Lepisosteus oculatus: one gene and its partners. The main gene of each other region encodes a partner of the protein of the gene in region 2 in a complex. Links are inferred from orthologs where the notes say so. Each region holds a gene or a part of one and is shown on either strand. Other genes may lie near its edges. The genes, in order: ccnc, med16, med13a and mediator of RNA polymerase II transcription subunit 13-like.

Evidence for each region.
Region 1: med16 (region 2) and ccnc share a complex: the UniProt entries of both Homo sapiens proteins name them as parts of the mediator complex. The link is inferred for Lepisosteus oculatus from reciprocal best matches to the Homo sapiens genes MED16 and CCNC.
Region 3: med16 (region 2) and med13a share a complex: the UniProt entries of both Homo sapiens proteins name them as parts of the mediator complex. The link is inferred for Lepisosteus oculatus from reciprocal best matches to the Homo sapiens genes MED16 and MED13.
Region 4: med16 (region 2) and mediator of RNA polymerase II transcription subunit 13-like share a complex: the UniProt entries of both Homo sapiens proteins name them as parts of the mediator complex. The link is inferred for Lepisosteus oculatus from reciprocal best matches to the Homo sapiens genes MED16 and MED13L.

What each region holds. Positions count from the first base shown.
Region 1 is NC_090697.1:31,785,531-31,793,778, reverse strand, and holds the start of ccnc (cyclin-C), read right to left. Parts: upstream 3,092-8,248; 5' UTR 2,944-3,091; coding exon 2,912-2,943; intron 282-2,911; coding exon 175-281; intron 1-174. Other genes in the region: desmin, read left to right, coding at 7,763-7,977. UniProt on the Homo sapiens protein: Component of the Mediator complex, a coactivator involved in regulated gene transcription of nearly all RNA polymerase II-dependent genes.
Region 2 is NC_090724.1:3,457,675-3,465,495, forward strand, and holds the start of med16 (mediator of RNA polymerase II transcription subunit 16), read right to left. Parts: upstream 3,314-7,821; 5' UTR 3,290-3,313; intron 3,217-3,289; exon of another isoform or gene 2,764-3,216; intron 2,649-2,763; exon of another isoform or gene 2,613-2,648; intron 2,601-2,612; exon of another isoform or gene 2,418-2,600; intron 2,117-2,417; 5' UTR 2,044-2,116; coding exon 1,905-2,043; intron 1,586-1,904; coding exon 1,478-1,585; intron 1,096-1,477; coding exon 926-1,095; intron 489-925; coding exon 57-488; intron 1-56. Other genes in the region: tmem259 (membralin), read left to right, coding at 4,160-4,375. UniProt on the Homo sapiens protein: Component of the Mediator complex, a coactivator involved in the regulated transcription of nearly all RNA polymerase II-dependent genes.
Region 3 is NC_090721.1:4,737,446-4,745,239, reverse strand, and holds the start of med13a (mediator of RNA polymerase II transcription subunit 13a), read left to right. Parts: upstream 1-4,505; 5' UTR 4,506-5,227; coding exon 5,228-5,293; intron 5,294-6,478; exon of another isoform or gene 6,479-6,863; intron 6,864-7,067; exon of another isoform or gene 7,068-7,626; intron 7,627-7,794. UniProt on the Homo sapiens protein: Component of the Mediator complex, a coactivator involved in the regulated transcription of nearly all RNA polymerase II-dependent genes.
Region 4 is NC_090717.1:10,603,932-10,612,096, reverse strand, and holds the start of mediator of RNA polymerase II transcription subunit 13-like, read right to left. Parts: upstream 3,213-8,165; 5' UTR 3,016-3,212; coding exon 2,944-3,015; intron 1-2,943. UniProt on the Homo sapiens protein: Component of the Mediator complex, a coactivator involved in the regulated transcription of nearly all RNA polymerase II-dependent genes.

The DNA of each region.
Region 1 (8,248 bases), on a different chromosome or scaffold from region 2:
CCCAAGGAGTTCTCGTACCCCTGGTTGAGAACCACTGACTTCGACTACTAAGTTTGAAGCTGTATACAATGTGTGTGGATAAGGCTGAAGCACAAATAGAAAAAGATTAAAGCAGAAAGAAAAACAGCAATATCATGTCCCTTTCACATCTATCAACTTATTGACAGAATGTACCATTCGCAAAAAAGATCTGCAGTTTCCAATACTCTTCTTCTGTCAGAAACTTCAAGTCCTTCTGGCGTTCCTTCATCAAATCCTGTTTGTCAAGGATCCACTGCAAACTAATGACAAAAAAGTGGCAATCAAAAAGGGCAACATAAGTATATTAACAGTCTCGCTCATAAAAAAGACAAGACGCAGCTGATATAGCCAGCTTTTTTTCCTTTAAAGGGTTTGATATTTTTCAAATTCTTCCTCAACTGCTTGATTATGTACCAATTTGGAAATAAACCACCAATGACAATCCATTTACAGGATTAGAACATGTATCAGAACGTCTACAGCAGAAACAAACACAGGAGAATTTGACACCACGGGCCTGTGCTTCATGCAGGGCCCGAAAATGATTGAGAACCTATGACTTCAACTATCTGAGGATCTGGACATTTGAATAAACCTTTACACAGTCAAGTACTGTTAGTGGGTTAACTGGTCATAACACTGGAATTTTTCAACTAAAGTATTCAACTCATTTCATAATAGGTATTTACAAATTCTTCATTAAAAATGTGGTACTGGATAAGCTTTCAATGTAATACTTACAGGAAAATTAACTAGATTATCTATTTAGGGACTGGATTGTTCCATTTGTTCCTCATGGAACACTTTAACAAGGTCGTCTGAGACATACTATTGGCATCATCACCAAAACCCTTATCCCTGCTTTTTAAACAATTCTATAAACCATGCCCTCTATGCTAAACTAAAAAGCACTGTGTGATATACAGAGAAAGAAACACTTTGCAATTTAACAATGGGATAGGTAAGAGCATAAATACTTTTGTGCTTTACATAAACCCTCAGCAAACTGTTTTGCATTTATGCCATGTTAAATCCAACCACATATCTTCTGGCAAGCAAGGGGCACAAAGAGATACAACCTGGATGGTACACCTGTCCATTGCAGGACACACACACACTCACGCTAGGGCCAACTACCCTGCCAGGATGTCTTTGGACTGTGGGAGAAAACCTATGTGAACACAGGGAGAACATACAGACAGCAGCCATATCACCCTGCAACTCACAACCGGCAGCCCACTGAAGCTAATGTGACGGCTCCTGGGGTTTCCGCCCTTGCCACACCTGTCCTGCCCGTTCTTCCCTCACTGCCTGGGCGCGAACCCGGGTCTCCAGAGCCACACAACAGGGAACCTGCCGGCTGAGCTAAAGGAGAACTCCCTCAGCCCGGGAGGCTGAGATCCCTGTTACACGCAGGGTTACACTAAGCAGGTGTGAGCCTGGTCAGTACCTGGATGGGAGACCCCTGGGAAAGACTAAGGTTGCTGCTGGAAGAGGTGTTAGTGGGTCCTAATGCCCCAGTATAGTGACGGGGACACTATACTGTAAACAGGCGCCATCCTTCAGATAAGACGTAAAAACCGAGGTACTGACTCTCTGTGGTCATTAAAAATCCCAGGGCGTTTCTCGAAAAGAGTAGGGGTGTAACCCCCATCTCCTGTCCAAATTTCCCATTGGCTCTTACCAGTCATGGCCTCCTAATAATCCCCCTCTATGAACTGGCTTCATTACTCTTCTCTCCTCCCCACTGATAGCTGATGTGTGGTGAGCATTCTGGCGCACTATGGCTGCCGTCGCATCATCCAGGTGGGGCTGCACATTGGTGGTGGTGGAGGGGAGACCCCATTACCTGTAAAGCACTTTGAGTGGAGTGCCCAGATATGGAGTGTCCGCTATGTAAGGGTTAGCAATTAATTATTACACAAACTCCACGCAGATAGGAGCCCAGAAACTCGACCCAGGGCTCTTCAGTGCTGCAAGGCAGCATTGCTAACCACTGTGCCACCATGCTGCACGCCATTTTAAATCAAAAGATCAAAACCACTCATAGAAAAAGGAACCCTGATGCTGCAGTAGGCTCTATCCAAGGCGAGGGACGGGAGGTAGTAAATGTAGCAAGCAGTGTGCAAAGGAGAAAAATAAATGCTGAAACAACACACATATACTGTACAATTAGCTGGTTGCCAGATACACCTTGTGGAAGGACAAATAAAAAATACACGCTTGGATTGCGTGCTCTGCAACACTAAAACCCAGAGAAACCGACTAGGTATGTAAAAGGTAGCTATCTGAGGCGACACAAATCGTTTTAGGCCTCTGCATTATTCGTGAAATGTAATCTCTTAATGACGTCACATCTGTTGTGTCTTGTGCTGTCGGGTTTCTATCAATGATTTTTTTCACTTAGGAATGAAGACAATACATAGAACAGTTGCAGAACACATATAAGAACATGCCAGAAAACCACACGCATGTTTAAGAAAATAGGATATTACAGATACTACTGGTGACCAAGGGATAAGAGAAAAATCATTAAAACTACTTTGAATTTAGAAAAATATAGTACAACACTGAAGCCATAAAATTAATATTTTTATATCGAATTAGTGCCTGATGAAGGTTAATAATTACTAAGTTATTTCGAAATTCATTAGTACAGACACTTTATTCGGACAAGATAGGATAAATAGTTAGACTGGAAACGCGAGTGTAAAATCTCGATATTAAACAAGTGTTAAGTGCATGAAATCGCCCTGAATTTAACACGTTTTGTCTAAAACCAGTTTCAGATAAAAAAATATTAATGAAACTGAAGGTCTTTTAGGCCCCAAGGAAAGAAAGATTTAACAGACCGCCGTAGTTTAATATTGTTTAATCAAAAATGACTTACTAATGTGAGCTCTGCCAGAAGTTTCCTGCCATCACTTAAAAAACGAGGTAGAAATTTGGACTATTTTCCTTTTCTCTTTTCAGGAAACCTGGATATAACCTAAAAAAATAACGAAGTAATTATTCCGGCGTTTGGTTTCCTAACGTGCAACGACACAATCACTCCGACTTCGTGTGCACTATGTAAAACCTTCCTACTCTAAAACCCATTGTGCTGTGCTTAATAGGTCCGGTGTGATAAGCTCCTTTGCATTCCTCGACTATTAGACGCATGAAAACGTATGTATTGCATGTATAATTATCCAAATGATATGTTTTCCAAATCTGGACAAGATTTTAAATATATTTTATCTAGATATAACTTTTATCCAAAACGGCTTACTTTAAATCTATTTTTACAAGCTATGCATTTTAATGAAACAATTTCAGTAAAGTACCATGCTCAAGAGCACACCTAAAGTGCCCACAAAATTCCGGTTTAATTTTAATTCTGTTTGCATCAATTTATTTTCTCTTTTTCTCACTGTCACTCACTACTTGAATATTAGGGACAATACATCTCTGTGAGCTTGCAAACCTGCAGTCCTGTTTCCACCTTCGATAATACAATACATTATAGGAGAATATTATTATTAATTTAAACATATATTGATAGCATTCTGTTTTATAAAGCTATATCTTATCACCTACATACCTTGTGTGGGGTGTTGTGAGGTGAATTATTCAATGATAATTACATATGATGGATTACATATCACTCTTCCATCTGATTTCAGTAACTAATTCATCCTTCATTCAGACAATGAATGGTTAATGGTGAGCTGGAGTCCAAACCACCAAAAACAGAGTACAATATGGGGCTACACCACGGACAAAGTGTCAGTCCATCGTTGTGTATAGTTATGTACAATCTCACCTCATGCCCGTTAATCTGGAAATGTCCCTGGACTGTTAGAGGAGATCAGAACACCTGGTGAAACCCATGAGAATTTAGGGAGAAACCCTCCTCATAAAAAGGTGCCCTGGTTCAGAATCAAATATAGCAGCCAGCAGTCCTTCATGATTCCATTCATTCATTCATTTATTCCTATGAGGGTGTTTCAACAAATAAGGCAAGAGTTCCCGAGGTATGTATGCATAAACAGCAGAAAATGTTGTAAACATAATATCCAAACCTGTCTGTGCATGTGTCCCATTATAACACATATAGTAGATAGAAAATCCTTGAATCTGCTGGAGAAAAGAGTTAAACCTACCACTTTAGGTTTAATTCATCTGCTGAACAGATACTTCTTTAAGAGACCAAAGAAGTGGAAATCTGTGAGTTCCAGATCACAGCCTTGAGATCTGCTGTTCTTGCACATTCCTCTCACAATGCCACAAGTGTGGTTCACAGGGTGTGACCCTTTATATATGTCAGATCTGACATATATGTCAAGTGTCTTGAGATACTTTGAGTAAAAGGCACCATATAAAACTTAAATTGATTGATTGATTTGTTGGTTGGTTGGTTGATTGATTGATTGAATCAATGAATGAATCAATGAATGAATCAATGAATGAATGTTGGCTGACTGGTTGGTTGAGATGAACCCAGTCCTGATTGGATTTGTCAACACCTGTCAGTTGCTTCAGCACTCATCAGGTGCACACTTCTTCAGTACTCCTAGTGGGTACAACCTTCACCTGTACTGTATGTCTTGTCTACATATTAAATATGTGTAAGTGATCGTTAACATCAGCATGATTAATGTTGCTGCACGCTGGGATAATTGCTACACAGCCAGACATATTTAAAAAAAACTTGCCCTTTAAATTAGAAAAGTCTAATTTCAAATTATAATTTAAAGAGAGAAATATTTATCTGTTTACTGTTCATCTAGCACTGTTCTGGGTTTAGCATACAGAAGATATAAACATTCAAAATTACTTTATGGTGTACTGATATATGGAAAAATATATTTTTCTTTTTTAACAAATCATATTTCTCTTAATAGCATCTCTGTTGAGATCATGTTCATTAGCATGTGACACAATATGTCACATGTGACGCGTAAGCATTAAGAAATAAGCAATCTTATCACTGTAAAAAACAAAATAGGGATCTGTTGTAAGGTCTGGCCCCTCAATACAATCATATTCTCACAAAATCTTTGAGCGTCGATTACCAGAGAAAAAACATTGTGTGATGTTGCAGGTTGGTGTTTAAACTCATTTCGGATTCATTCACATTATGGGGAGACAATGCCCTTTGCACCTTCCACATGGGTATAAGAGCTGACATAAGAGGAAAGAATCTCTTGAGTGCTTAAAACAATCACAGGGACTGCTCGTCCTCTCCTGACACTGTGCTGCTAGTAGGAGTTGTGGTAGATCTCCCTGGGAGCAATAAGCAGTTAATATTCAACGTCTATTTCCAGCAACAATAGGGCCACACTTAAAATGGTTTAAATATTACTTCAAAACTCGAACTTAAAAATGAACAGATACGTTTTTTTATTCTTTTAAAATGAATAGTCTGTTAATTGGGAACTGAAAGGAAGTGAAGCTGACCACACTATAGGACCACGTTACCATGCCCAGTGCATAAATGTACTTGTCTTTTTCAAGGTTTCCTGGAGTTTCACTAGGTCTTATTGTGTCTTTATAAGCCTCTCCACCCTTTCACACCTAGATTGTAGGGTGTTGTATTACACTTGATTGTGCTTTTAACGTAATATAACAAACCAAATGTTTATAAGAGTTATATCAACCAAATGGTAGGTTGATTTTGAAAATGTTTGAGGATTTGGAGGAATGTCTTACACAGCACAGAAAATTAATCTTTTATTGTAGAAGCAACAAGCAGTGTGAATGCTCAAGGTTGCCAAGTTTCAAATAAATAATTATTTGACTATGTGAAAAACATACATACAGCATAGAGAAAGATATTGTCTTGGCAAGTCAGCCAGACCTATTACAGGAAAGGCAAAAGAGCTTTCCCTCTAACTCAAAACAGGAGGAGTCGCAGTAACTTTACAAGCAGCAGATTAAATTCTAAAATGCTTTCACTCCTTCGGGTATTTCATTAGAGGGCAGATGGATTACTTCATGCAGTTCGTAAATATATACACCTGAAGTAAAAACAAAAGAAGAGGGACACATAACATAAAGAATCTACTGAATGAAAAAAAACCAATCTCATCATTTTGCTGCTCAGGTTGAGCTAAAAATAGAAAAAAAATGTTAGTCAGATTTAAGATGGTAAATTTTAAATCAAGGGAATTTTTGTAAAATCTGTACATATCTTGTTTGGAATACCACGTACAACTTTGGTGGACACCTCACAAAAATTACTTTGCAGCTTGGGACTGGGAATAGTGTCTAGATTACTGATCTTGAAGGAATGTCACACAATGACAGCTTAGAGGAACTAAATATCTTTAGTGCTAAATAAAACAGGTCACAAGAGGTCCTGGCAATCTTTACCTTGAGGATTTGACCAACTCATTCTAATGGGACTCAAGTAAAAATTAAAAAGAAGAAGATGTCTGACAACAAGACACACTTTTCAAAAGTCATGCGAATGTGTAACAAGCTACCCAGCTGACCTTGTTTTTGAGAAGCCAAAGCTGAAATTCAGATCAACAGTCTACCAGCATCTCTATAAATTAACTGGACCTCCTTTTGTATGCTTTCTTACATTCATCCAGATATACTTTCCATAGCTGCTTGCTCTCTTCAGAGGGTCTTTTTAGGTTTTCCATAAGGTTCAGTCTTTTGATGTGCAGATGTGTATAGATGTATATACTGTATGTATGCTTTGATATGCCCTACAGCATACTGCTATTACTGTATGTATTTAATTATATACAATATGTTGCTATTTAGTTTTTTTATCCGTGAAAATGTTTATTTTTTACTTTGCTTCGATAATGTTTTGAATGATTTGCTGATTATACATGATGAAGAAAAGAGCTAATACTTTTATAGACATTTGCAGACATCTTCTGTATGTCTTGAGATAATTAAATGTGCACTGTGAATGATAGTAAGAACACATGTGTGTCTTTCACTTATCAGTGTTCAAGCTTTACTATGATATGATTTCGACGCAAGAAATAGTCAAATACATAACGGATAAGCAGATTCTTGGTGCTATCATTCTAATTATACAGAGATTTCCAATGTTACTGTGCCAAATATTACACATATGGAAAGTGATGACAGCTGTTTAATCCACTCTGCAGAATGATAATTAAATAAAAAACAATTGTAGGATAGTCCTTCGTAGATGCCCAACCCACTGATGGAGAAGAAGGTCTGGGCAGATTGCAATTGTCTCCGCTCACGTCTTTTAATCATTCCATGCAGAAATCCCAGACATCCCAGGCTCTGATTTATTTTTTTGCTACAACAGTTAATTTTGCTTTTACTGCGCCAGTTTTCTTTTCCCTTTTCTGTCATAAATGCTAGCCCACTAATGACCATATATGTCAAATCTTCAGGGAAAGAATGCCTCACATTTCACTGTACGCTAATGTAATGAATTCATCTGTTTGCTTCTGGCCCTGCTTTGCATGCAATTAAACTTCAGTCACATCCAAAAGCATTAGATCAGCGCTGCCTAATTGGCTAAACCTTCTATTTTTAAGATATTAAACTCTTCACATGATTTTGACAAATATTCATAGGGAAGGTCAGCCTTCTTGTTGTACTTAGGCTGGAAATTCCAGAGGTGATTCCTCACGAGTGCATCAGGCCCAGGCACAAGTATAAAAAGGAGGGCCTTCGTCTGGCTGTGCAGTACAGGGTGGAAGGTGTCAGTGTCCTGAAGCAGCACAAGAGGGGAAAAAGAAGGCGAGCTGACAACATGAGCCACAGCCCAGAGAGGATGTCTTCATACCGGCGCCATTTTGAGGACAGCAGCTCCTCTTCCTACCAGGTGCGAGTGTCCAGCCCCTCTCCCCCTCGCGCCAGGGGGGCGCGGCACCGCTCTGCCAGCTACTCCCGTTCCTCCACGACCCTCAGGGCGGAGGCAACAGGCCGGAGGACGGCCTCATCCAGCCGGAGACCCCACATAGCCAGGTAGGACGGCTCAATCAAGTCAAGAGCGACGAGAAGAAGCCCAGAGGATCCGGCAAGTTCGCTGTCTCGAAAACCCATTGGCTTGACGTCTTCAAGACATGGCAGAGAGCTGACACACAGATGTCGCTCTGCAGTGTTTTTAAAATCCCAGCTCGCCCTATGGAAGTGTAGGAACTGGGGTTTTCTGGTCTCTTGAAGAAGGGGAGGGAGGGGGAATCCAGGTATTTTCATGTCAAAAGATGTTCTTACAAGAGAAAATGAACAATGAACA
Region 2 (7,821 bases):
ATAGCGGCTCTGACACAAACCCGAGCTGTAAAGAAAGCTCCGGCGGCCGCGCTCACCTGCTCAGAGTTCTCCCTGGTCAGGAACTTCAGGTGGGTGACGGCAGGGTACTTGTCCTTGCGCGCGGGGTCGGTGGTGCAGCGCATGAAGAGGGAGGGCAGCAGCTCGGTGTCGATGCGGCACTTCTCGTTCACCACGCTCACGCACACCTTGTAGAACTGGACCGGCGCCGAGCTGCTGCCGTCCGTGGCCGCCACCACGATGTTGCCCCCGCCCGTGAAGGCGATGTCGGCCAGCGCCACGCGGCCCCGCAGCCGGCACAGGCTCTCGCTGGCGGTCAGCAGCGCGCCGTTGGGCTTGAGCAGCGACACCGTCACCAGGCCGCTCACCGTCACCGCCATCCAGCCCTCCATGGGCTTCCCGCCGAACAGCGTCAGCGAGGGGGAGAACTTCACCCGGGAGAACTTCTCCCCGAAGTTCGTGGAGCCCGACTGTGGGAAGCGAGGTGGTTTAGTCATCCGGTCCACGAAAATAAAACTTTGGAATCTGCATTGATATCCACAGCGAAGCAGCCCCTGGCATCGGCCTCCCTTCCTCAGCGAGATGCTACACTGTCTCCTACGCCAAAGAGGTTCTCAGCGCGGCAACCACGGCAAGGCCCAGGATTGGACTCCAGCATCATCTGAGAATTGTTTTACATGATCATCTGATGACCAGATCGTATCGCCTAACCTGCTTCAGACTTCATTTAAAACATGTGTGTGCCCGTTCCTGGCTGGCATCTTTGTATTTCCTGAGGATTTCCACCTGCGTCCGTGTAGTCTCACCACAAAGGAAACAATGATTTAGAATACAATGGTTTAGATTTTGATTTTTCAGTAATTCAAGTACAATACACAGGAATGGGAGAATTAAGCTGCCATCTTACCTTCTCCACGTGCAGTGCCAGCTTGACTCCGTTGTGCAGCCAAGACAGGGCTACAATGGGGTCGCCCTCCACGGCGCTACCCAGCGTGCTCTCCCAGCTGTTCACCAGGTGTTCTGTCATCGCCCAGCACTTGATCTGCCCGTCCCCATCAGCCGACAACAACCGGGAGCCTGCACAGCCGCAGCCACATAGACACAGCTCGCTCATTACACTCGGCTACCATCACAAAACAATCCCATAATAAGAGACACCTCAAAGATCATCTGATCCACTCATCTGCAATTAAGGCAAACTTTGTACGTTTTGGTTAAAAGATTAAAGTGTGTTATCATATCAACTGTAATGTAGACTTTTGTTTTTTGCAGACAAGACGTAATCATGACATTTGACATCAGTAACAAACCTTCTGTCTGACAACACATCTTAGCAACTCCTAAGCCACATGTGAGAGTTTTCCAGGGACATTTTAAATCTTGACGTAATGAGCAAATCATTTTCAATTTAGCCCACCTGCATCAGCTACTTTTTTAGGGCTGCAACCTACAGACTTACCTGACTGATCCCATTCCAGACAGGAAATGACCTCAGTGTGTCCCGAATTGATCGAATAAACGTCCCATGGATGCTCGGAGTCAATGATGTGAATCATGTGGGTCAGGTCTGAAAAACAGATCTCTTTAACTTACTCTGCACAGGGGCAGAAACGGCTTTCTCAGCTGTCTCACAAACCCACGGCTTAAACAAAGACCGTAGGAGATGCTGTCATGAAGTAAGAGTTTTGCCGAGGCCTTTGAACACAGTGTGAAAAACATGCAAAACACAGATCTACTTAACAAAACAGTTCAACACAAGCAGAGGACAAGATCCAGGTCTCACAGTCGATTAAGAAGTGATGAGAAAGCAAGACCTGCAATTCTGTACAGTTTAGGTTGGCTTCAGGGCGAATCGGTTATATTTCTGACAGGGCTAGCCTGCTTACCCTTTTCTTCTTCCTCATTTTTGAGGTCAGTAGTGAAGGCGAGGAGGTTTCTGCAGGACCAGGCGCACACAAGAGGGATAGAGGGGCAGTGATTGCTTTTAGGCCTCTTCTCCCACTCACACACGTAGGCAATATCCATCCTTCGCTCATGGGGTTGTCCTTCACTGCGGTGTCAAGGTTTTCTTCTTGAAACAATTTTACACACTTCCAGCCTAAAGTAGAAACATGCCAATAACAGAGATGATTAAACAGACATCACTGAAAGCGCTTAGAGTTTTGATCATTAGAGCTTATCATTACGAATATTAATCAACGTTTACTGTTGCAAAATCTAGCTCAGTATAACCCGTCAATGTGTGAATTTGAGTATTCCATCTTACATTTATGCATAATCTTAAAAAACAACCCTAATTCACGTCACGTAAATGCTCAAAACATATGCATTCACCAAACTTTATGAAAATATAACAAGTTGTATACACTAACTAAATCAAGAACTACAGTATTAGCTACCGGTTAATCATGCCCACACGCCGTCGGTTCTAGATGTCTCTCAAAAGGAAGATAAAAGAACCAATAACCACAAATCTCTCTTGTTTTATAAAGTAAAAAAATACAAAACTAACAAGACACAACATTGCTCCCACACAACATAAGGTTTAATTTATCCTTAAAAACACATCTTTACAATTTGAGAAGCAGCTTTACCAAAAATACGGAAGGACCCCACTCTCATTAAGTGAGGAGTCCATCAATATGCCTGTTATTATTACAAACAGGCAAGCTTTAAAATCTACGTGGACGTCGTATTCCTTTCTTGTTGTAATAATCAAGAACGGCTATCTTTTAGCATAAATACCTTAAACGCAACGAAAGCTCCGTTTTCACTTTGTTTTGTTTCTCAAGGTGGGGAATTTGAGGCACATACCAAGGCGACTACGATGGGCAAAGCCCTTCTCGCGTCAACTGTTATTGTCGTGGTTTTAAAGGGCCCGATCTTTCATAAAGCGCTTGCGGGTATTGTTGGAAAACTGAACAAGATTTGCAAAATACGAATAATTAGGAAACGTAAACAATTTTCTGAACTAAATAAAGTCGTCCTTCAGCGGGGTTTTCAGGTCCATTGGAACAAACGTGACGTTTTAACCATAAAAAAACAAGTGTTCAACACAACGATCAGCTACAGGATATCCCCTTTTTTTTATTACGACGCTCAACACGAGTTCAGCTTTTCGTGTATTATTATTATTATTAACGGCAGCAACACATAGCGCTCAGTTAGGATTTTGTGTTTAATCCGGCGATCGTGAAAACGGCCGCTTAAACAGCACAGTAAATCGCTCAAATCCTAAACGAACAGACTGATTTAAATGTAGCCATCCCACCTCTAGCGGCCACTGTCCCCCTTTCTGCTCCACGTACAGCGCGTTTCCTCTTAGGGCTATATGTGTATGTGTGGTTTTTTTTCCGTGGTAGCCAGAGAGAAACCAGAGTATAGAAAATGGCAGCAACAGCAACAGGGCAAGGAAAACAACAAGCAGAAACAGAAAAACCCTGAGCCAGCGACGGAACCGCGGCGCCTCCGACGTCGGCAACAGAGAGGGAAGCCGGGAGCCTAGTCCGAGAGCCGGGGCACTAGTGAGCCTGCGACACCGCTGTCGTTGCCTTCGTCAGTACAGCAGCACGGAAACATCAGTACTTTCGAAATATAGCAGTTTAAAGCAAAACGCATAAGGACACTGTCATATGGGCTGTTTTCAGTTGTTTTTCAGTAGAGGCTGGATACCCCAAAGATGCGGGGGAGTTCCGCGGCTGTGTGGGGTTGCGATGATTGAGTAAAGAATGTGGACATATGGTTACTCCTTAGGCCACTGGGACAGGCTTTTATAGTAGGCTGGGAGTGAAAGACATTTTTCTTCGCATTTTTGTTTTTGTATCTTGGGAAACGTCCCCTATTACGGCACCCCTACTCGGTCGGCGTGATTTTTTTTTTTCGTTTCGTTCATCGGCGGTCCGAGAAATGGTGTCGGAAGGGGGCGAGTGGACTATATCCCGCTGAAAGCCAGGGCTTGTTTATTTGAGCAGCCTGGCGGCGGCGTCGTCGTCGTCGTCGGCCTCGTCCGTGCGAGTGGTACAGGGGGGGAAAAAGAAAACGCACGCAGCCCGAGCGAGGGGGGCGGTTTTCAAATCTTCCGGGATCTTTCGCCTCCAGCTTCAGTTTCAACTTGGAATTTGTCGCCGACCGCTCCGCGACCATGTCTGACAACCAGGGCAACGTCAACAACAACAACAACCCCATAAATAACAATGGCGGGGCCAACCGAATACGGAACCCCAATATCAATCAGAACCCGCTTATCAATGTCCGCGACCGTCTGTTTCACGCCCTCTTCTTTAAAATGGCAGTCACCTACGCCAGGCTTTTCCCCCCGTCTTTCCGAAGGATCTTCGAGTTCTTTGTCCTCTTGAAGGTAAGGCTCAGGCACCCGGGTTTGCATGCCGGAACTCCCAGTTCCATTGCTCAAGTACAAACGCAGCTGTAGCCCCGCCACCCCCTGACGCCGTTTCGCCTGTCGAAACCTGTAGTTGAGGCCTCGGCCGCTTTTTACAAGGGAGTCCCCCGTGGTCTGGGAGATGGTGAAAAATCGAGGCCCGTTTTTACGTTTGCCACAAACTCCTTTTGAGTCTTGCTCTGGGCTCATGCCGTTTGCAGAGGTTGGAATGAGAATGGCCTGTGCACGTTTCTCTTAGCCTCCTAGCAGATTTGATTATTTTCTAAAAAAAGGCTGAAACCGCGACCATCTTAATCTAACGTGGCATGGTTTCAGTGGTGATGGTTTTTTTTAATGTACAATAGTTCCTTTCCAGGACTTTTGGACATGCCTGCAGTTGCAATGATACACACTAATTGGTAAACACAAGTGGTCACACATTCTTAACATGCCTCGGCACCAGCATAATAGCTTGATTGTAAGTGTATGAGATGCCTGCTTTGAAAGTCTGACGTAGGGCGGCAGTAGGATCAAATCCACCAAGCTTGACAGGCCCTCATCTGGCTCTGCAGTTTTCACAAACCAAACTTCTCGCAAAGGCTAAAAGATACGGGGCTTGTCGCAGTATCATCAAGCAGAAAGCACCTGCCTGGGTTGCAGTAGGCTCAAACTGGGTCATCCCACGTCTTAGCCAGCTGTGTAACTGAGTGCCTCAGTGGAACAAACCCCTAAATATGCCAGGCAGGTTCTCAGGAATTGGACACCCCTGTCTGAAAGCCATTAGAATTCCCCCCAGGCTTGGTTGAATAGAAGAAGAAATGTAACAGGAATGAGCACTGAAATAAGCTGGTGCATTTGTGATTCACCTCCCTGTTGACATTGCAATCTCTGACAAGAATATAAAAGGAGAATCAACTTTTTTTTTCTTGGAGGGTGGGTATATCTAAGCAAACTTCCTTTTGCCTAGGAAATGGGGTATTATGTAAAATGCCACTGCAAGTAAATGATAAGTCAAGGGCTCAAAGCAAACCAAGAAAGTTTTACAATTATATATGTTCCCAAGTGATCTGCAGCAGTTTAAGTAGAACATTTCTGATTTTCAAAGCCTTTAGGCTGCTCCTTTCATCCTGTATTATGACATAACCTAAGGCTTAATATAAAACCTACACCAAATAAATATGAAGCACTTTTCTATAGCAAGGACTGGGGACAATATTAAATTGCCGTGAAATGTAATAGAACTGCTCTCGGGTTTTTATGTGGTGGGGAAAAGCAGAGACTACAAGGAGAATTGCTGATATTTAAAAAAAAAAACTTTTTTCAGAGATGACCTTAGGTTTATAAATTTAGAAAGGAGTGAAGCAAATTGACAGTTGCACACTAAGCTATATTTTGATCAATATCTTCCTGTTTTTATATTTAGTACAATTATTCCATTATGAAAGGTCTCGGTTCTTTTTTCTAAAGCAGCATACACCAAGAGTTCCACATGACTGACAGAAGAGACCAGTGTATGGAAATGGATTTTAAAAAAACCTGCACACCCTGTCTGCTGCTCTAAGATGGCAGTTTAACATACAGGCTCCTTCATTCATTAATTCATTGTTTAAGAAAAACTCTTAATCTGTAGTTATCAGTGATATCTTATGAAAGTTTATTAAACACAGATTCATGCGGCCAGGTAGTATGCGTACAGGTGAGGCTAGGGAGAAAGGGTCATTCATTGCTATATGTTTAAAAACCTCACAGGATGTTCGGTATATCTGGACTCTCATCTCCAGTTTTAACTCGGCTGTTTCACTTTGATTACTAGTGTTCAGCAAACGTCTGATAGATGCCTCCAATACGTGCACATTAATAAATAATATTAATCTAATCTGATTTAGTGTGGTAGATTTTCAAGCAGGGGTCTGATGAAATTCTCTGGTGGTTTACAGGGACTGTGCTGGGGGTTTCTGGAAGGGAATGAAGGGATACCTTTCACTGTCTGTCAGTTTGTGTGCAAACTGAACACTCTTCCATGGTGAACCTGCTCTGAAGATGACTATAGTGGCTGTATTGTCCTGCTCTTGTACCTCCACTATTTTCATACTGGCAGGAGAGTCATTTGAAATAGTTGTACACCTCCGTTAGATCTTAAAGTGATCTACTCTGTGGTTCATGGCCCTGTTCACACCAGCTTCAAAATTAGTGGGATCAATGCTGAGCTGTCAGTGTGCAGTACAAAATCAAGCATTCACGGATGCATGAACCACTAACCCACATGCAGTTACTTTATGTTGGGGAATTAAATATGAAGGTCGGTGCATGGTAGAATTGTATAGATTGATTGAATAAGCTTTTAGCACAAATGCTTTGAGCACAATCCAATGTGTGCATAAGGTAATAAATTGTTATAGTGTTGAGCTGTGAATGAACGCACTGTGTAGGAATCTGATTTCTGTTTTGTTTTGATTTAAAGACTAACCAAATTCCTGAACTCAATCAGAATAATTGATGAAGCTTCAGTTATTACCTTTTCTGCTTTGTGGTAGAAAACCAAATAACTTGTCAAAGAGCAGCCCCAAACAATGCATGTAATTTTTACCCAGTAAAAAAAAAATTTTAGAAGTGTTTTGAGCAAACTTTGTACAGTATGTGAAGAACTTTAGGCATTCTTATTTTTTAATTGCGCTAAATATGGATTATACTTACAGTCTTTGGGTGAAGTCCCAGACAGGCAATATAAATTAGATCCCTTACCTGTTTTTAGTGGAACACCTGGAGCAGATGTTTTAACATTATTAGGTATAGTAAGGTAAAAACGGTGCAAAATAAAAGTACTGAGACTGTTTAATTACACAGGCCTGTTCTATAATTTTAAAACCTACAGTAAATATGATGTCCTGTGATCCAGTATTGCTATCATCAGTAGCTTCAGAAGTTAAAGCAGGGGATTAAATGGACTGCACATCACTCCTGCTGTTGAGCAGTGCAGCGAAAAGCTTTGAAGCGGTTTGTCTTACAATTAAACATACAGTTGCATTGTCAGTGATTCTGTTGGTATTATAGGATGATATAGTTGCGTTTGTGCCCAAGCTATATTGTTACAAAAGCCTCCAGCTAACTTTTACAGAGCAGATGAACAGTCTTTCGGTTTTGTGCATGGAGCAAAAGTGTTGACAGAGCTCAGCAGTCTGCTATGATATTCCAGCACCACAGCACAGAAAGGGATTGTTGTCTGATCAGGCTGTCAGGTGCCATCTAGTGTGTTACATGAAAGGTTTGTGGCTTGTTTATTTTCCCTCTTTTTCCTTTGAAGAAGTAGGGAGGCATTAGTCAGATAATAGGTTTTACGATTTCCATTGCTGGAAAATTACAGAGACGTTGAGTCTTGTGTTTATAATATGGTGAAAAGAAGGATTTAGACTAGTGTTCTTGCCACG
Region 3 (7,794 bases), on a different chromosome or scaffold from region 2:
ACAAATCCTGGGGAGTCTCTGCTTCACGTGAAAGCAAGTATATGTTTGGGTACATCGAGCCTACTGCTTGAGAAATCCTGATCACAGCAGGCTAACCCGATCTGGCAACATCTGGAATATAAGACTACACCTGCAGCCCCTGCAGGTGTGTACTGGTTGACCCATGTGGAAGCACCATGGTTGAGAAAATCTTTGTTTCACACCTGGCATGATTACAACAGTAAATATCTGATAAACCCCTCACGAGTTGTGTAAGCAGTACTCACGAGTTGTGTAAGCGGAAAACACTACAAATCCAGCTGCCTGTCAAATGCAAAGCCACCAGTACATTGAACACACTCAGTCATCAGGATTTTCAGAAATTGGATTTATTGTGTCTCCACTGCGTTTGAGGGTTGGTTGCCAAGTGGCATCATCTGTCAGACAGCAGCATGGAGTAGTGGATAAGGCCCTGCGTGCTAGGCTACAGGTGCGCGGGTTCAAATCCTGGAGGAAACATAGCTGCTGTACTCTTGAGCAATGTACTTTAGTCCGATTGCACCAGTACATGCCCTGCAGTATAAGTGGTTCTCCAGGTCATCATTGTACATGAAAATTTAATCTCAGCTGACTGACTTGTTTAGATCAAGTATTAAATTACAAGAATAAGATAAGGTGCGGGCTTGAATAGAATAGGAAATGTTCCTAAAGGGACCCTCAGCTGTTAGTTCATGGTGCCTACTGCATACCTCTTCCATTTGTTTTTGAGAAGCCTTGTCTGGCACTTTAAAATGCGCAATGCTTTTTTATGTTCTCTACCTCTGTTCCTCTCACCATCTGTCCTTCTTTTGCTCTCTTGCTTTCTCCTTTGTAGGTGTTTCTAATCTATGAGCACATGTAGTGATAACAGAACCATCCTGCTGCTTGCACGATCCACGCTGCTTATGTACGTACAGGATTCGAAATGTATACATACTGTACATACGTTACAATCCAAATAGTTCCGTGTTGTCTTTTTCCTGAAAGAAGCCTGAGCTCTGAAGTTAAACATCTCTGTCACTTTTATTTTGCAAACCACTCAGAACATTTGTTTGAAACATCGAAGCTGGTTTATGATTTTTTTTAGACATTTTCTATAGTCCTGTAATATCAGAGAAGTGAAATGTGGTGATCGAGGTGAAAACTGCAATGAGAGATCTTTCGAGTATTGTGACAGTTTGAGTGTTGATTCATCAGAATTCGTAACTGCAGATGTTGGGAAGCACACCTCAGAAATATCACAAACTGACATCAGCCATGATCTTTGTTATTGAAATTAACAAGTTGTAGATTTTGCAAGAGGAGGACAATAGCAAAGCCATGTCCTTTTTAATGCAGTTTATCTAGTCGTAAAAAAAAAATCTCTCATCTCATTTTTACATCTTCTCTGTGGTGTTGCACAATACAGATCTATTTTATGAGGGGAACACATTTAGAGAACGCCTAAAAGGGTTCTACAAAATTCTTTACACTTTTATAGCGCTTTTCTGGACACTCCACTCAAAGTGCTTTACAGGTAATGGGGATCCCCTCCACCACCACCAGTGTGCAGCCCCCACCTGGATGATGCAACAGCAGCCATAGTGCGCCAGAAAGCTCCCCACACACCAGCTATCAGTGGGGAGGAGAGCAGAGTGATGCAGCCAGTTCATAGACAAAAACACATTTATCCTGCTAACTTTTAAAATTCACTTAGAAGAATCAGTTTCTAATCAAGATTATTGATGATGTTAAACATGGGATGACATGCTATTTCCTGCATGTGCATAACCAGCTGTCCTCTACATTACAAAAGTTACAAACGAGAGGAGGCTATTTGGCCCATCAATGCTATGTGGTAGTTATAGCTAATTTTACCGGGGATCTCATCCAGGTATTTCTTAAAAGAAGCCAGTATTCCTGCTTCAGCAACTTAATTGAGTAGCTTGTTCCGTACTCCCACACCCCTTAGTGTAAAGAGAAGAGCCTCCTGTGCTCATATTTAAACGGACGTCCATGTAACTTCCTGATGTGATCTCTAATAAGAACATAAAAACTAAATATCTGAGCAATCCGGTGAAGTTGATATATGAATGTGATAACTCAAATGGAAATTTCAGAAAACACGCTGTATATACAACACTTTTCATTGGGAACAAATATGTGCTGCATATAGACAAAGTTAGATCAGGGAGAGGTGCTGGTGTGTGGCTCCAATGGAAGTTAAATTAAGGAGAAATAAAAAGAGCGAAAAACACACTGTTCTAACTGTGAAGCCCTTTAGAGGTGTGTGAAAGCTCCACACTTGAAATGTTGTGTATTTCATCTTTTCTACTGTTCAGAATTATGGAATTAACCTTGACCTGTTCCTATATGGTGTGGAGCTGTCTATATACAGTAATGTTGATGACCTTGACCTGTTGCAAGGAATAACAATGAACAGGCTGAAGAAGAGCCTCGTTCTGTGCTCTGTGTCGTCAATGACCTGATGTATGTGATGGCCTCAGTATTAACTCTACAAAGTGATTCGCAACAGGACTATTATACGCAAAAACAATTCAACACTGAAATCACAACAGTAGTCAATACTCAACTCTTCCACTCTGCTGAGCACTAAACCGCTTGAAAAACCTAGTAATGTAGCCTCAGCAGAAATCACTGCTTTCTGGAACATAGGGTCATAAGCGTATTACCTTGCATACAATGAGTATAGGTGTGATTTTACTATATTTTACTAAGGTTTTATAGATTAATTCAAACAATAATACACTACAATGACAAAGCAACATGGAACATACACAAACACAGATGTACCTAGTAGCTCGGCCTTGTACATAGTGTCAAGCTAGGTGCGAGCTGTCATAAAGAAAACTAATACACAAAACGACTGCCGATTCCAAGACAGTGTTGCTCTCCGCTCATTTAAGAATAAAACAAATACTGCATCTTTTTGTACAATATTTTGCAGTATTTCCTTTGTGAGCCGATACAAGGTCACGTACATTCTTCTTCGTTCGGGTGGTGCTGTGAAAACTAGCCAAGCCGAACATTTATTTTGACGTTTCTTGTGTTTTTCAACTTGACCCGCAGAAATGGTCTGGCTGCCTGCTGCACTTCTCGTTAATGAATTACATTCTATAACCCCGGTAACCTATCAAGCATGGCATTGCATGATAACTTACTTAATCACAGATAATGGGAAATACACGTGGAACAAAAAAAAAAAGATGGCAGCCAGACTACGAGCGTTAAGAACAGCACCATCAGCTCGCGAGCCTGGTGGGGCTGCTCAGAGTATTGTTTCACAGCCAGGATACAGACACCAAACCGGTTCTCAGGCCTGGCTTGTGGTTAAACAGGGTGAACACCAGCTTCTTTGCGAAATTCCCTGCTTCTCTATTGATCAGCCGAAGCTGAATTACCTGCAGACCTCGCTGACCTGGACTTCCAGCAGCACAGACAGGAGACAATCAGCTTATCTCGGCGGCGTCTTGTAAGGTTATTGTTCGGAATAAGAATGGCAGCACTACAGCTACACCGTCAACAACAGCACCAATAAATAATGAATTGGGGTGTCAAGCAGCAGTCTTCGAAGCCAGGGTCTACTGGATTTCATTCTGTTTCAAGTTCTTTGCATTTATTTTCTCCCGTGGGCATGTTCACAGGTTTTTTTTTTACAGTCATTTACAGCAGATGATTTAAACACTGCTCTCGAGGCAAGAAGCAACATCTCAGAAACACTCTGAATCCTGGAGAGAGTTGTGTGCGTTTGGTTAGTCAATAATGTTTGGCCCCGACAGGTCTCTGGGACCCCAGGGCGAACTGGAAACCAGATTTCTTGTATACAGGTTCTGGTACCAGACACATAATGAAACACAGTAACCTGAGGTAGAGCCATGCTTCGGTTTTTCCCCGGGAAGGGGGGGTGTAAAAAAAGTAGTTTATTGCAGTCCATTTGATGTTAGGAAGAGCCTAGTATTTCATCACCACAACTGAAATAAACAAAAGCAACCAAATGCATTATAACAACAACAACAACAACAATCAAAATAATAATAATTATTATTATGATTATGATTATTATTAGTTCAAGTAGATGGTTGTGTCAGCATGCATAGGTTGCAAAGGAACGAGTAAACGTTTACTCCATGCTGAAAAGAGAAGAAAAGAAGGCTCCCGAAGAAGACTGCACAGCCGAAACGTTGTGTTTCTTTTTTCTCTTTTCAGCATTCTTCTTCTTCTTATTATTATTATCATTATTGGCGTCTCACCCCTGACGCCTGTCAGAGCCCCCCCCCCTCCTAGCAGCTGCGAATGAACCGATTTTTATTTTACTACCAAAAACAACAATAACACACACACACACGCACGCACACGGGGTACCCAGGTATATAAATAACTGCGGCAGTGCGCCGTCGGCGCGCTAGGGGGCGCAGCGCCCGGGACGGCGAGCTGAGGGGGTCCAGACCGGTGGCTCAGCAGCGCCTAGCGGCCGGGCCCGTCACTTCCAGTCCTCTTCCAGCCCGCATGACCACGAGCCAGCCAATCGGCGCCGGGAGGCAGAGTTGTCCCTGTGGCCGCCATTAAAGAAAGGAATCCGTGAATTCAAATGGAAACCAGCAGGAACAGAGACCGAAATAATGGTTAAAACGACCGAAAAAATATAGTCCTCCACCAGCCTTCGATCGTCTTTTACAAGATGTTTTTCATTTTTAAACCGAATCCGGCGACGATGGAGGAATAGAGGGGCGATTTTTTTTTTAACCCAGACCGTTTTAACCAAAGGGGGAGGGGGAGAGTTGGGTTTTTTTTTTTGTTTTAAGAGCGTTTTCGTGCTTTTTTTTTCCCCGTTTTTTTTTTTTAAAAAAAAGAAAACGACCGAGCCTCACTCAAGGAGCGTCTCTTTTTTTTTTTATATCAGGCGGACGATGCGGAGGTGGCGGTGCTGTTTTTAATTTACGGCGGATTATTTTTGGGAAGGGGGAGAGAGAGAGAGAGTGCTGACGGAGGAGAGAATCTAAATGAGCTGTTGAATTACATTCCCCCGGCCGATTGTTTAAAACCATCCTCGGCGTGAGGTGTTTTTTAACGGGGGGTTTTTTTTTTTAAATAAAAAAAAAATCCACGCGCGTACAAAAAAAAAAACCCCAACAAAAAAAAAAAGAAGAAAAATTGTTCTTTCTTTCTTGGGAACTTGAAACGATGGAGTGGTCGATCTCGATGTGAAAGGATGAGTTCTTGCTTTGTACCAAACGGAGCGAGCCTGGAAGACTGCCATTCCAACCTATTCTGTCTGGTAAGAGATTTAAAACTAAAAGCAGCCATTTTTAACTAGCTGAGGGGAGAGAAAAAAAGAGCACAGTAGCGGGGAGCGCAGGCTTGGGGGCCCTGTCGAGCACTGCAATCCAAACACCGCTGATCAATCCCTCTGTTGCATTTGCATACTGCCGAAGTTTAAGGCCGGATTAAAACGGCATTTTGCGGGGGGCTGCGCGGCGTGGCGCGGTGTCGGCTCTCCCTCCGGGCCGTGGATGTGGTCTCGGCTGGCCGCCGGTGCAGATGAGGTTTGAGCGCTGCCGGCCAAAACATTTGATCACGGCTGTCTAGTAAACAGGCAGGTTTACTCAGGTCGTGCAAAGTTTCCTCTCCCCTATCTCTTCTGTCTCTGTGGCGTTTAAATCCCCCCCTCCCCTCCAACACACACACTCATACACACTCCAGTTATTTTCCTCCCCTGGCTTGGTTTTTATTTTCTTTTCCCCTCCCAAAAAGAAATGTGTTTCCGTGCGTTTGATCCGAGACCTTTCTGGTGCGCCGGTCCTGTATTTAGGAGTTACGAAGGTCCAAACTCTTCTGGGCGAAGTGTTTTGGTCGCGGCCGGGCCGTTTTGTGGAAATTAAATGCGCTGGGTCTCGTCGGGGGGCTTATCCACCCCCCCCATCAACTGGAGGGGAAGCTCGCCGGCCCGGTGGGGTTGTTTTGCGGGGTGCTGCGTCGGGAGATTATTTCTGATTTTTAGCCGTTAGTTTTGGTTTCATTTCTATTGGCAGGGAGGCTTGTTCGTTGCCGAGCAGACTTGTCATTTTTCGTTGTTTACAGCCTTCCCGGGGGTGTATAACTGGCATCTCCGGGTTGAGGGTGCCCTCGGCCCCTGATGCCCTATATTGGCCTGGAGGCTGTGAACTTGGGCTCGTTAGGGCACGACAACGACAACAACAACGGGGGGTTGAAGTTGTTTTAAAAAACAATTATGGAAGTAGCTGCGTACAGGTCTTTTAACTTTTTTTTTTTTTGCTCTCTTCCGTGCGCATACCTGGGTTTGTGGTCCGAGTCGAGCAGTGTGGGACGAGTTACGCAACTCGTCTTGCTGCTGTGGCAATGCATGGTCCTGTCCCAGATAAGACATTTACACCGCTTCATTCTGGGGGCTTGGGGGTCACGCCTCGGGTACGGATACGGGCTTTTAGAGACGTTTGGAGGCTTTTGAGTTTCGGTTTCTAGTTTATTATGTAAGAGGGTTTTGTTTTGTTTTTTTTGTGTGTGGCGTTTTCCGTATTCCAAGATGCCCAAAGCCGACGAGATGGGGGCGATCTAAGTGTCAGAAAGTGCAAGGCAGGAAAGTTTTTTTTTTTGTTGAAGTGCCTCTGGGAACTGTTGTTTTTCCTCGATCCCGCTTGATAGCTCATTAAACTGCATGGTTGAGATTCTCGGCTGTCCCCTTGGACGTTGCTTCGTGGTGGCCCCCCGCCGAGGGGTGGCTTTTTCCTCCTCACATGCCCTGCGTGTGATTGTGGCCCGTGCAGTTCTCGTGTGCGAAGATCACGCGTGACAGCGGGAGCCAAAAGCGAAGGAGCTTTTTTTTTTTCCTAAAAAAAAAAAAATCAGATCTAATTAGGAGGCATTTTCAATCAGGAGAGTGGTAAGGGATTGAGCCGGTACCAAATGTGCGTCTGAAGTATGAGTGATGGAGTGGTTTGGGGGTGCCAGTGGGGGTGTATGTGTTGTAAATGCGTGGAAGGGGTGTTGGATATTGATTATCCTCCCCCCCCCCCACACACACACACACATACCGGTGGTGTCCTGATTCAGCACAGGGGGAGGAGGGAAAAAAAAAGTTTCAGTTCGGGGGAGGAGGAGGTGACGTGCCAAGATATTGAACCGCAGCTGAAGGGAGGAAAAAAAAAAATGTCACAATAAAATAGACGCCGGGGCAGGTTTACTCGATATGAATCACTGGGCGAGATGTGTGTGGCGTCTGCCGTCGCGATGAGGCTGGAGGAAGAGCCGCGGTCGAGTCGTCGGCAATTGGCCCGCCGGTGGGTAATGGCCTGTCCCATTGAGCCCATCTACTCTGAAGGGCGTCCGTCGTCGCACACGCAAGCGGGACGGCTCGGAAAATTGCAGGAGCCGGGGAAGACATTTTAATGGGAGCGGGAGGCCGGCCGTGACAGCGCTGTTTACAGCTGTCAGGAGCCGTGAGTCACCCCGGCGCTGGCGGTAGCGGTAGCGGTTTGGACCAGCGCTTTCACCGGAGAAGCCGTACGATTTTTTTTTTCTTCTTCTTGTGAATTTTCAAGTCCTTTTCTCCTTACGGCGCATAATTGCTCAAAGGTGATGAAGCGTGGGTGGGGGGGGGGACACACACGCGAAGTGGGTCAAACTTTTTTTTTCTGACAGTGGTGACACGTCAGGCCAGACGGGTTGGGTTGGCATCATAGGGCCCTTCGGTTTCCATGACAACAAAATATTGCAGCATTGAGGCAGGTGAAGCGCATATATACATCATGTCGATGAGGC
Region 4 (8,165 bases), on a different chromosome or scaffold from region 2:
ATACCTAGTCACAACAAGAGTTTAAGGAACACAGAGACATAAACTCGAAAGCCCCTCACACCTTATTTAGTGAATTAATTGATTTCATGCAGTAAGCATTCTTATGAGCCTTGAACCTAGGCTGAATGCTATTACAGAGCCTAGGCCACTTTGCCTTGGGTTTACTGTACACATTTTTGTCCTGCTTGTGACGATACCCGTTACTACTGGTTTGTAAATTCTGAGTGGTGAGATGATGTGTGACAATGCTAGAAACCCCAGCACTTGTTTGCTTAAATTATAACAAGGGAAAAGTGAACAAAATCTAATCAAGTTCTCACTCAATCATGCGATTTCAATGCTTAAGCACTGTTGAAAATTGTCACTACTTTTCTAATGGGATGTTAACAGCTCCTTGTCACTTCTGCCTACTAAGTCTATGGTGACGGCAGTATCAATGCCACCTGCCTGTGGCTTCCAAGCCCTGTTCTCTCATTTGGACTCAAACTAGCAGCGTCTCACCCTTTTCTTGCCATGTGAATCAGTGGAGAAAGGGCGGGTCTTATCTCGCCTTGCCATTGAGGTCAGCAAACTCAGCCACACATCCTAGTGAGCATGGCTTGGAAATCCAGAACAGGGAAACCCTCACAAAACTGGGCACTGCTGGAACTCAGTTAGACATGCTTTCCAGCCAGAATCCCCCCCAGGTGCTGTGTGGAGTACAGAATCAGTCTGCCAGTGAGTGCCCCTCAGCTCCAGGTGACCAAACCACATACGAACCCTCAGTGAAAGAAAGCCAGCCCGTTGGTTCGGTACGATATACTTCGGGTATTGTACTATAGCTGCTGTAGAAACTGTTCTTATTATCATACTATCATTGTCATGGCTGTTGTTAGTCATTATGGTAGATGCTAATTTGTTACTATTATCATTATAATCATTATCATGAGTAGCATTATTCTTGCTCATTAATGGTGTTTGCTGCCAACACTAAGTCTTTCAAAATTCCCCCCCAGAAGTTCTTATTGTAATGCACAAGTCTAATGCACCAGACATTTGAATGAAAACTTACACTCTGAGTAACAGTTTTTTATCTTTGAGTTTGTTCAACCATATTTATATTCTAGGATGTAGGATATTATGAATGTTAACGCGGAAGAGTCTATCCACAATTGTGCTCGCTGTATTAGATGCTGCATTAACTTCAGCATCTGAAACTCTCCGAAACAAAGAGTTTTCTTTTTTGAAGCATACTGATCTCTTTACGCAAAGCTGCATCACTATGCAGCCTTTGATCTTTTCGAGGTATTCAGTTTTAATTGGAGAATTTAACACTACAATCCGCTGTTCAGTACACTGATCCCTTCTAATCATTACTTTCGTGTGTGCTCCACTAGAAACCTGCGTATTGCACAATTGTACTACCTGAAGAGCAGATTTGATCCAGCTTGTCGAGTAATGACATCCTTGCTCCTCTTGACAACACAACAAGGCTAATATTGTCTTTCAGAAAAGCTGAAAGCCAAGACACAACATATTTCATACGCACATGAAGCATGCTTGGTGAAATTATAGCAATTTCCAAAACAAACCATCCCTCTTAGACTCGATTAATAACTAAATTCAGTCAGAAGGTTGCAGAAGTAGAAAATTATTACTCCCCTTGCATTCCTAGTGATTAATTTCACCCATTTTTATGTCGATCTTTACATGTGTTCCTTGGACTATGTGTTTCATCATCATTGTAAAAGCCTGTCGATCTACAGTGTTCGAAGCTAAACGGAAAATAAATAAAACTAAAATAAAAAAATGTCTGACAATATAACAACAGAAATTATTTTTAACTAAAGGCATGCACTCTTCCTTTCCTCAAGGTTACAAAGCTTAAGAAATCTGCTGCCATTGTCTCCTCAATTATTTTCACATTATTCCTAAGCCAGTGTCACAATAAAGGCTCTTCTCCATTACTGTGACTAAGTTCAGTCTGTGTCAAGTTCCCTGTTGGGTGTCTCCTAAAGTGACAGAGAACAATATTTACAATAAGGTAGTCGGCCACAGGCTACAAACCAAAACATTTAATGCACAGAAGTCAGTGCACTGATGTGCCAAAGGAAAGGTGCCTTAAATGTTTTAAATAGAAATGGTAAGAATTCATATTTGATCTTTATATATCAATCTTAAGTAAACATCACGAATGTTATCCTAGTATCCTAGAAGGACCAATACAATGATGCACAATTTCTAAACTCATCACTTTACTACAGTAAAACTGCAATTTAGTGTCAAGGTCATCACCAACTGACATAGAATACCACTAGCTTTTGGTATTCCTCCTGAGGTGAAAACTGTCAAATGTTCACTCAAGACCAACAGTCGAAAGAGCTTTTGAAGTCGGAGCTTTTGCTAACACAATAATATTAACTTTTTCAAGTTACTTTACAGACCCTAACACTACATCATTTCTATTTTCCTATACTTGTGGGGATGGATGTTTTCCCTGAACAATGTGTATTTATATCGAAGCGAATGCAGCGAAATAGAAAAGTGTACATGTGCACAAATGTTGACTGGATACGTTAAGTGATATATCCACCCATTTGTGCGAGATCTTTTTAAAGGATCAATCAGATGAAAATCAATTTGGGAACAGCAAGGAGTTCTTAAAACACTTTCATGGTGCAGCACTCCCTTGCCTTGACGGAATGAATTAAATGACAGCGTGTAAAATGCTTTGTGAGTGTGGCCTATTGAGACCAATCTGGAGCGCCGATATCCTCGGTTCACTGCCCTGTGTTAGCTAATGATTCTCTAATCACAGCACCAGCGACGGGTTCACCTTTGTACCAAAAGTACAGATCTGTCCCAAAGTGTGCCCCCATCCGGATGGCGACAGGAGCAGGCTCCCTGGGTGTACTGTAATGTGCACAGCGTTTTCGTTAAACGGTTAACGTAGTGTTACTGTACCAGAGAGAAGAGGTTGGAGTGACAGTCTTCAAGGCTCGCCCCGTTAGCCACCCAGTTCGCTGCTGCAGTCATAATCGTCCACGGACCGGGTCGTCAGTGCTGGGCATGTCGGAATCCTGGGTCGGTACCGAGACCGAGCCTCTTCGGTTCCCTTTCCACCAGACGAACAGAACTATCCACGCCGTCTCCAACACACGCTGGGTTCACAACCAGAGCAGAGGCGAGATTTGAAATTATTACCCCCCCACCCCACCCCCCCCAACGAAAATATATCGATTAAATAATATCCACCCCCCCACCACCACCACCACCACCACCACCCCCCCACGCTGTCGTAGTGAATCCGAACCGGGTTGAGGTGAAACCCCAGTTAAATGCTGTCTTTCCCCCCACTGTTTCCAGGCGTCACTCCAAGCGGATCGTATTTTGTAAATCCAAAAACGTGCTGGCCGATCGGTGCCGATCCGAAGGATTCCAGGTCAGCGGGTCCGAACCGATTCCGAACGCAACCCCACACACACAAAAAAAAAAAAAAGACAAATCCTCGTTTCGTTAATCCAAGCAGGAGGAGGGGGGAGAAGCGTCTCACTGTACATCCAAACAAGCCTTCGTTGTTGTTACCGTATTGATTAAATAACAGTGTAATCCATACACGCTCAACCTCCTTGTCTTTATTAGGGGCTGGGAAGGGGGGTGGTGGTGGCAAAAAAACTGCCGGAGAAAATAGAGGAAAAAAAAACTGATCAATAACAAAAGCGAAACACTGTTTCCATAACTTCACACACAAACCACTCCGTCCTTTGAACAGCGTTTATTATTTTGTTTCAACCACAAACAGCAGAAGGAAGGGCACTGACAAAAACGCTCGGAGTCACATACAAAAGGTGCGCGATGATATCCCGGATTGGTGAGAGGTGATGGGAGCGAAATAAATAAACATCCAGCTGGAAGCGACCGAAATATCTCTCTCTCTCTGTATATATATATATTTCTTTCTGGCGGAAAAAAGAAAAAGAAAAAGGCTTCGGTCAGGTCCTGAAGATCCTTGTTGAACGGGAAAATCTGACGAGCGCAGGAAACGGAACAGTAACGAGAGATTTTAAAAACACACACGCAGGAATAGAGATCGCATGGCTCGCAACATAATGCCCCCGTTGTGATAGTTTTTGCGAATTGTAATAGTTATTTATAGTATTTCTTACCACCAACATGCCCTGCGAGTGTAGTACACACTACGGGCAAAAGAGGGGCTGTTTTCTTCTGTTTCCACTTTGCTATAACAGGCTACAGCTGCATACTAACACACACAGACCTAGCGAAGGTTGTCTCTTCCGTTTTGTTTATAGGAGAGGAAAAACAGCGACGGGTCTCGGTGCCGAACGGTTTAATTTTCGGTTTCGACTTATGTCTGTATACATGTTTCACGCCACATCCAAGAAAAAGTATACTTCCCGTCCATCATCGGTGTTGGGGGGGGTGAAATGCAGAAAACGAGACGAAACGAGAGTTAAAAAAATCCTCTCCCCCCCCCCCCTTTTTTTTCTCCTTTTTCTGTTTAATAATGACGAAACGTCCTCCCCCAGCAGCTGAAACGGGGATTTGTTTTCAGGGAAAAAAAAGAGAAACGCGTATTCTTTACACGAATAATGATGATGATGGTGATCGGCGCCTCGGAGGGAACGATGACACTCCAGCAACGATGCCGATACTGTAATTTCGCTTTTGGCGCTGTATTCAACACCCCCGGCTAGCACCGATCGCACTAAGGGAAGAAAAACCACTGGAAACGGCGGTGTCGCGGTGCCTTAATCCTCGAAAACCAACCTCGACAAAAAGAACGGGAGATTTAAAAAAAAATAATTTCAAATCATGAAGGGTGGGTAAAAGGTTTCGGGGTAAAAAAAAAAACCCGGAGAGTTGCTAATTTAATGTCGCTATGTCTCCCTTCCCAGGCACTGTTTGTGTCTCGGTGTCTTTACTGTTACATTGCCGAGCGGAGTTGAGTGTCGGACTGCCTGCCTTCCTGCGCTCGCAGCCTCTCTCACACTCCGCCGGCCCACCGCGCATAGCGATGTAATGGCGGCGGCCGGCAACGGACTCGCCTTCCCATTCAACACGGGAGGGAGGGGGGGGTTCACGTGACCGCGGCCGAGGCTCGCTCTCGCGCGCGCGCACACACACACTCACTCTCGGCTCCGTCGCGCGCCGCTAGAGGCGCTGTCCCGCACGTTTTCCGTGTTTTTTTATTTAAAATTTGATTTCATTCTGGTGCGGCTGTCCAGCGCTTCAAACTAAAGCGACCGCCTCCCACACCCCACCTTTTTTTTTTTAAATAATATTTTCAATAAGGAGCTACAAGTTTGAACCAAACTTAGATCTTTATGCATCATTATGTAGAATCCTAATGATGTTGAAAAGGCTTTAAAAGAGAGCAGCAAGTCAATGCACCTATTTTATGTCGAACTTCATTTTGCACCCCAACAGACTTAGAGTGAAGGGTTTCCTAGAACGGACTAGCAGTCTGTGATTTTAATTGATTATAGTACACACCTTTACACGATAACTACACTATCGTCCCACTAAGAATAGCCCTATACATCTCTCCATGTGAATTTATACACGCAGTGGACTCATACTGCAGTTGTGGCTGTCCTGTCTTTTTCTTAAAACTTCCCTTTAAAGCTGAACACCAACACTAAACACTTTGTGAGAAAACACTGCTTAAAGTTTTCAATGTATCAAGACGTCATTTTAAGACCGTTTTAATTACGATCCATTTTCATTTTGAAACATAAGATGACTTATACAGAATCATTAATAAATACAAAAAAAAACCTGTAAAGCACTGCACTGATTTATATGTATACAATTGATCAAATACCCCGCTTAACTGCAGAGATACAGTATCTGTTTTTAAGACGCATTTAGAAAAATAAGAGCCCTGCATGCTTACTAAGAACTCGTCTTTGTTTTAACGCTTGCAGGCTCTTCCCACTCACAGGAACACGACTGAACCCGAAGGCGGGGGATTAACTGCCGATCCGGCAGCCTGCTCTGGCCCTGCAACGTGTAATTAAGCCGCTTCAGGGGTTTACCACGGTGTCTGCAGGTACCGCGCCGGATAGATTCCCATATTTGTGTTCCTTGCCCCCGTTTTATTTGAGGTCTAGGGAAAAAAAAATGAAAGATTTGTTCTAGGACCCAGAAGTGCGAGTTCTCTTTCTGTCCGGAGCTCTGTGACCCAGCGCTAGGAATAGCGGATCCGAGGGGGAGCTGACCAGGTTAGTCTGGGTGGCTGCGGTGGGACATGCTGACACACGTCTCGCCTACTTAAGACCTACAGTATCTGTTTCTGAAGGCAGCTATTGTGGCGTATTGCACTGCCTGCTGCCATTAGACCAGGAACGTACAGTGATATGAGTCACTGGCACGGGTGTAAAAATAGTCATGACACCCTACTGCTTTGTGATCCTTGTCTAGTTACTTGAATATCTAAAACTGAAGACTGAGGGTGGCTCTCCCATGACTAATCAAAACAACAACAACATTCCCCTGTCACACAAAATGAAAATAAAGGCTTCCTTCTCTTCACTACTAGTTTCTGACCATTTTCCACTGGGCACATATACAGTACAGTACACAACTATGAAAGAGTTAGACAATGAGAATGATGAAACCTGTGTATATAAAAAAAGTGAGGTTATGCAAAGCCTTGCTTCTAAATCTGTTCTCAGAGAAAAGTTGTCGCAAAAAAGTAAGGATAATTTGGGTTTCAGGCATTTATTTGATTGTTAATAATAAGCCTCTTTAAAATAACTAGAACTGCTCCTTCATTTTTAATGAAAGTCTTTGAATTACACTTGGCATCCTAAGTGAAGCTTACCTGCTTGTTTGTTGTGGAAATAATTCATGAAGAAAATGTCATTTGTTCCTAGAGTCTCTGAAAACCTAGGGATGAGATTAATCCTGAATATGTAAATATTGATTTCAAAGCATGCTACATTCACTACAAGGAACTAAAGGTGAAAGAATTAGACCAAGCTTAATCGTAAGCAGAATTGCCTGATTTTTCTACAGGTGCAAGAAAAAGGAGTGTATTTGAAACCTGTATTTGAAGAAGCCACCCACGTATTATCTAACTACTTTATCCAATACAGGGTCGTAGAGGAGCCTGACCCTATCCCAGCAAGTACACCCTGTACAGGACACCCATCCACTGTAGGACAGACAGACACAAACACCAGGGCCAGTTTTCCCAGAAGCCAATTAACCTACAAATATGCCTTTAGACTGTGGGAGGAAACCGCAGCACCCAGAGAAAACCCAGACTACATGCAGACAGCACCCCCAGGAACTGAACCCAGGGCCCCTCCACTGTAAGTCAGCAACACTAACCTCTGCACCATGCAACTGCAAACACACACAGAGGAAGAGAAGGGGGGCTGCAAAGGCACCAATGGTGTGTTCATGATAAAACATTGCACACATGACTACATTCAGAAGTATGACCTAGGTTACTCAGGCACACAGAGACTCTCTTTTATTTGGGACAGCACTTCATTTTTACGCTAACAGGTGTTGTAGCAGGCGTGAATAAGATGGAGCCATCTACTGTCAGTAGGAAGCCCACTGGCTGTTGTGCAGTTGTACAGCAGAGCGATTAGCGTTACTGCCTTCGACTCTGACCTTGGCTCTCACAAGCAAAGCTCAGCCTGCTCAGTACTGAGATGGGAGAGCTCCAATGAAACCAGTTTGCTGCAGTTGATGAACCTGTAGTCTTCCTGGACCTAAACGTCCTTAGGGAGACACTGTGCTGTAGCCTGCCTTTTGTTCAAGACATTAAACCAAAGCCTTCACTTTGTGAATAAAAATCCCATAGAAGTATTTGTAAGTGTAGGTGTGCTAACCCAGATGTCCTTTGGGCTTGCACAATCTTGCTTTTCTATCAGCAATCCCACTGGCGAAGCAATTGCCCTCCTGTCTATCCCAGTCTGCTGTGCAGTGAGGCACCAGGTATGTAATAGCAGCTCCATGTGCAAGATGAGCTGGTCCTTTCCAATGTGTGAAGAACTGTGGGAAGCATCCTAGGAATTAAAAGATGCACCTTACATCTGCGAGTAACGCATTACTAACCTTTGCAAAGTTAAATAGTGACATACTGTACAGTATAGTTTTTGTACTTTGAGGGACAGTATACAGTATATTACATATAGCGTTTGGAA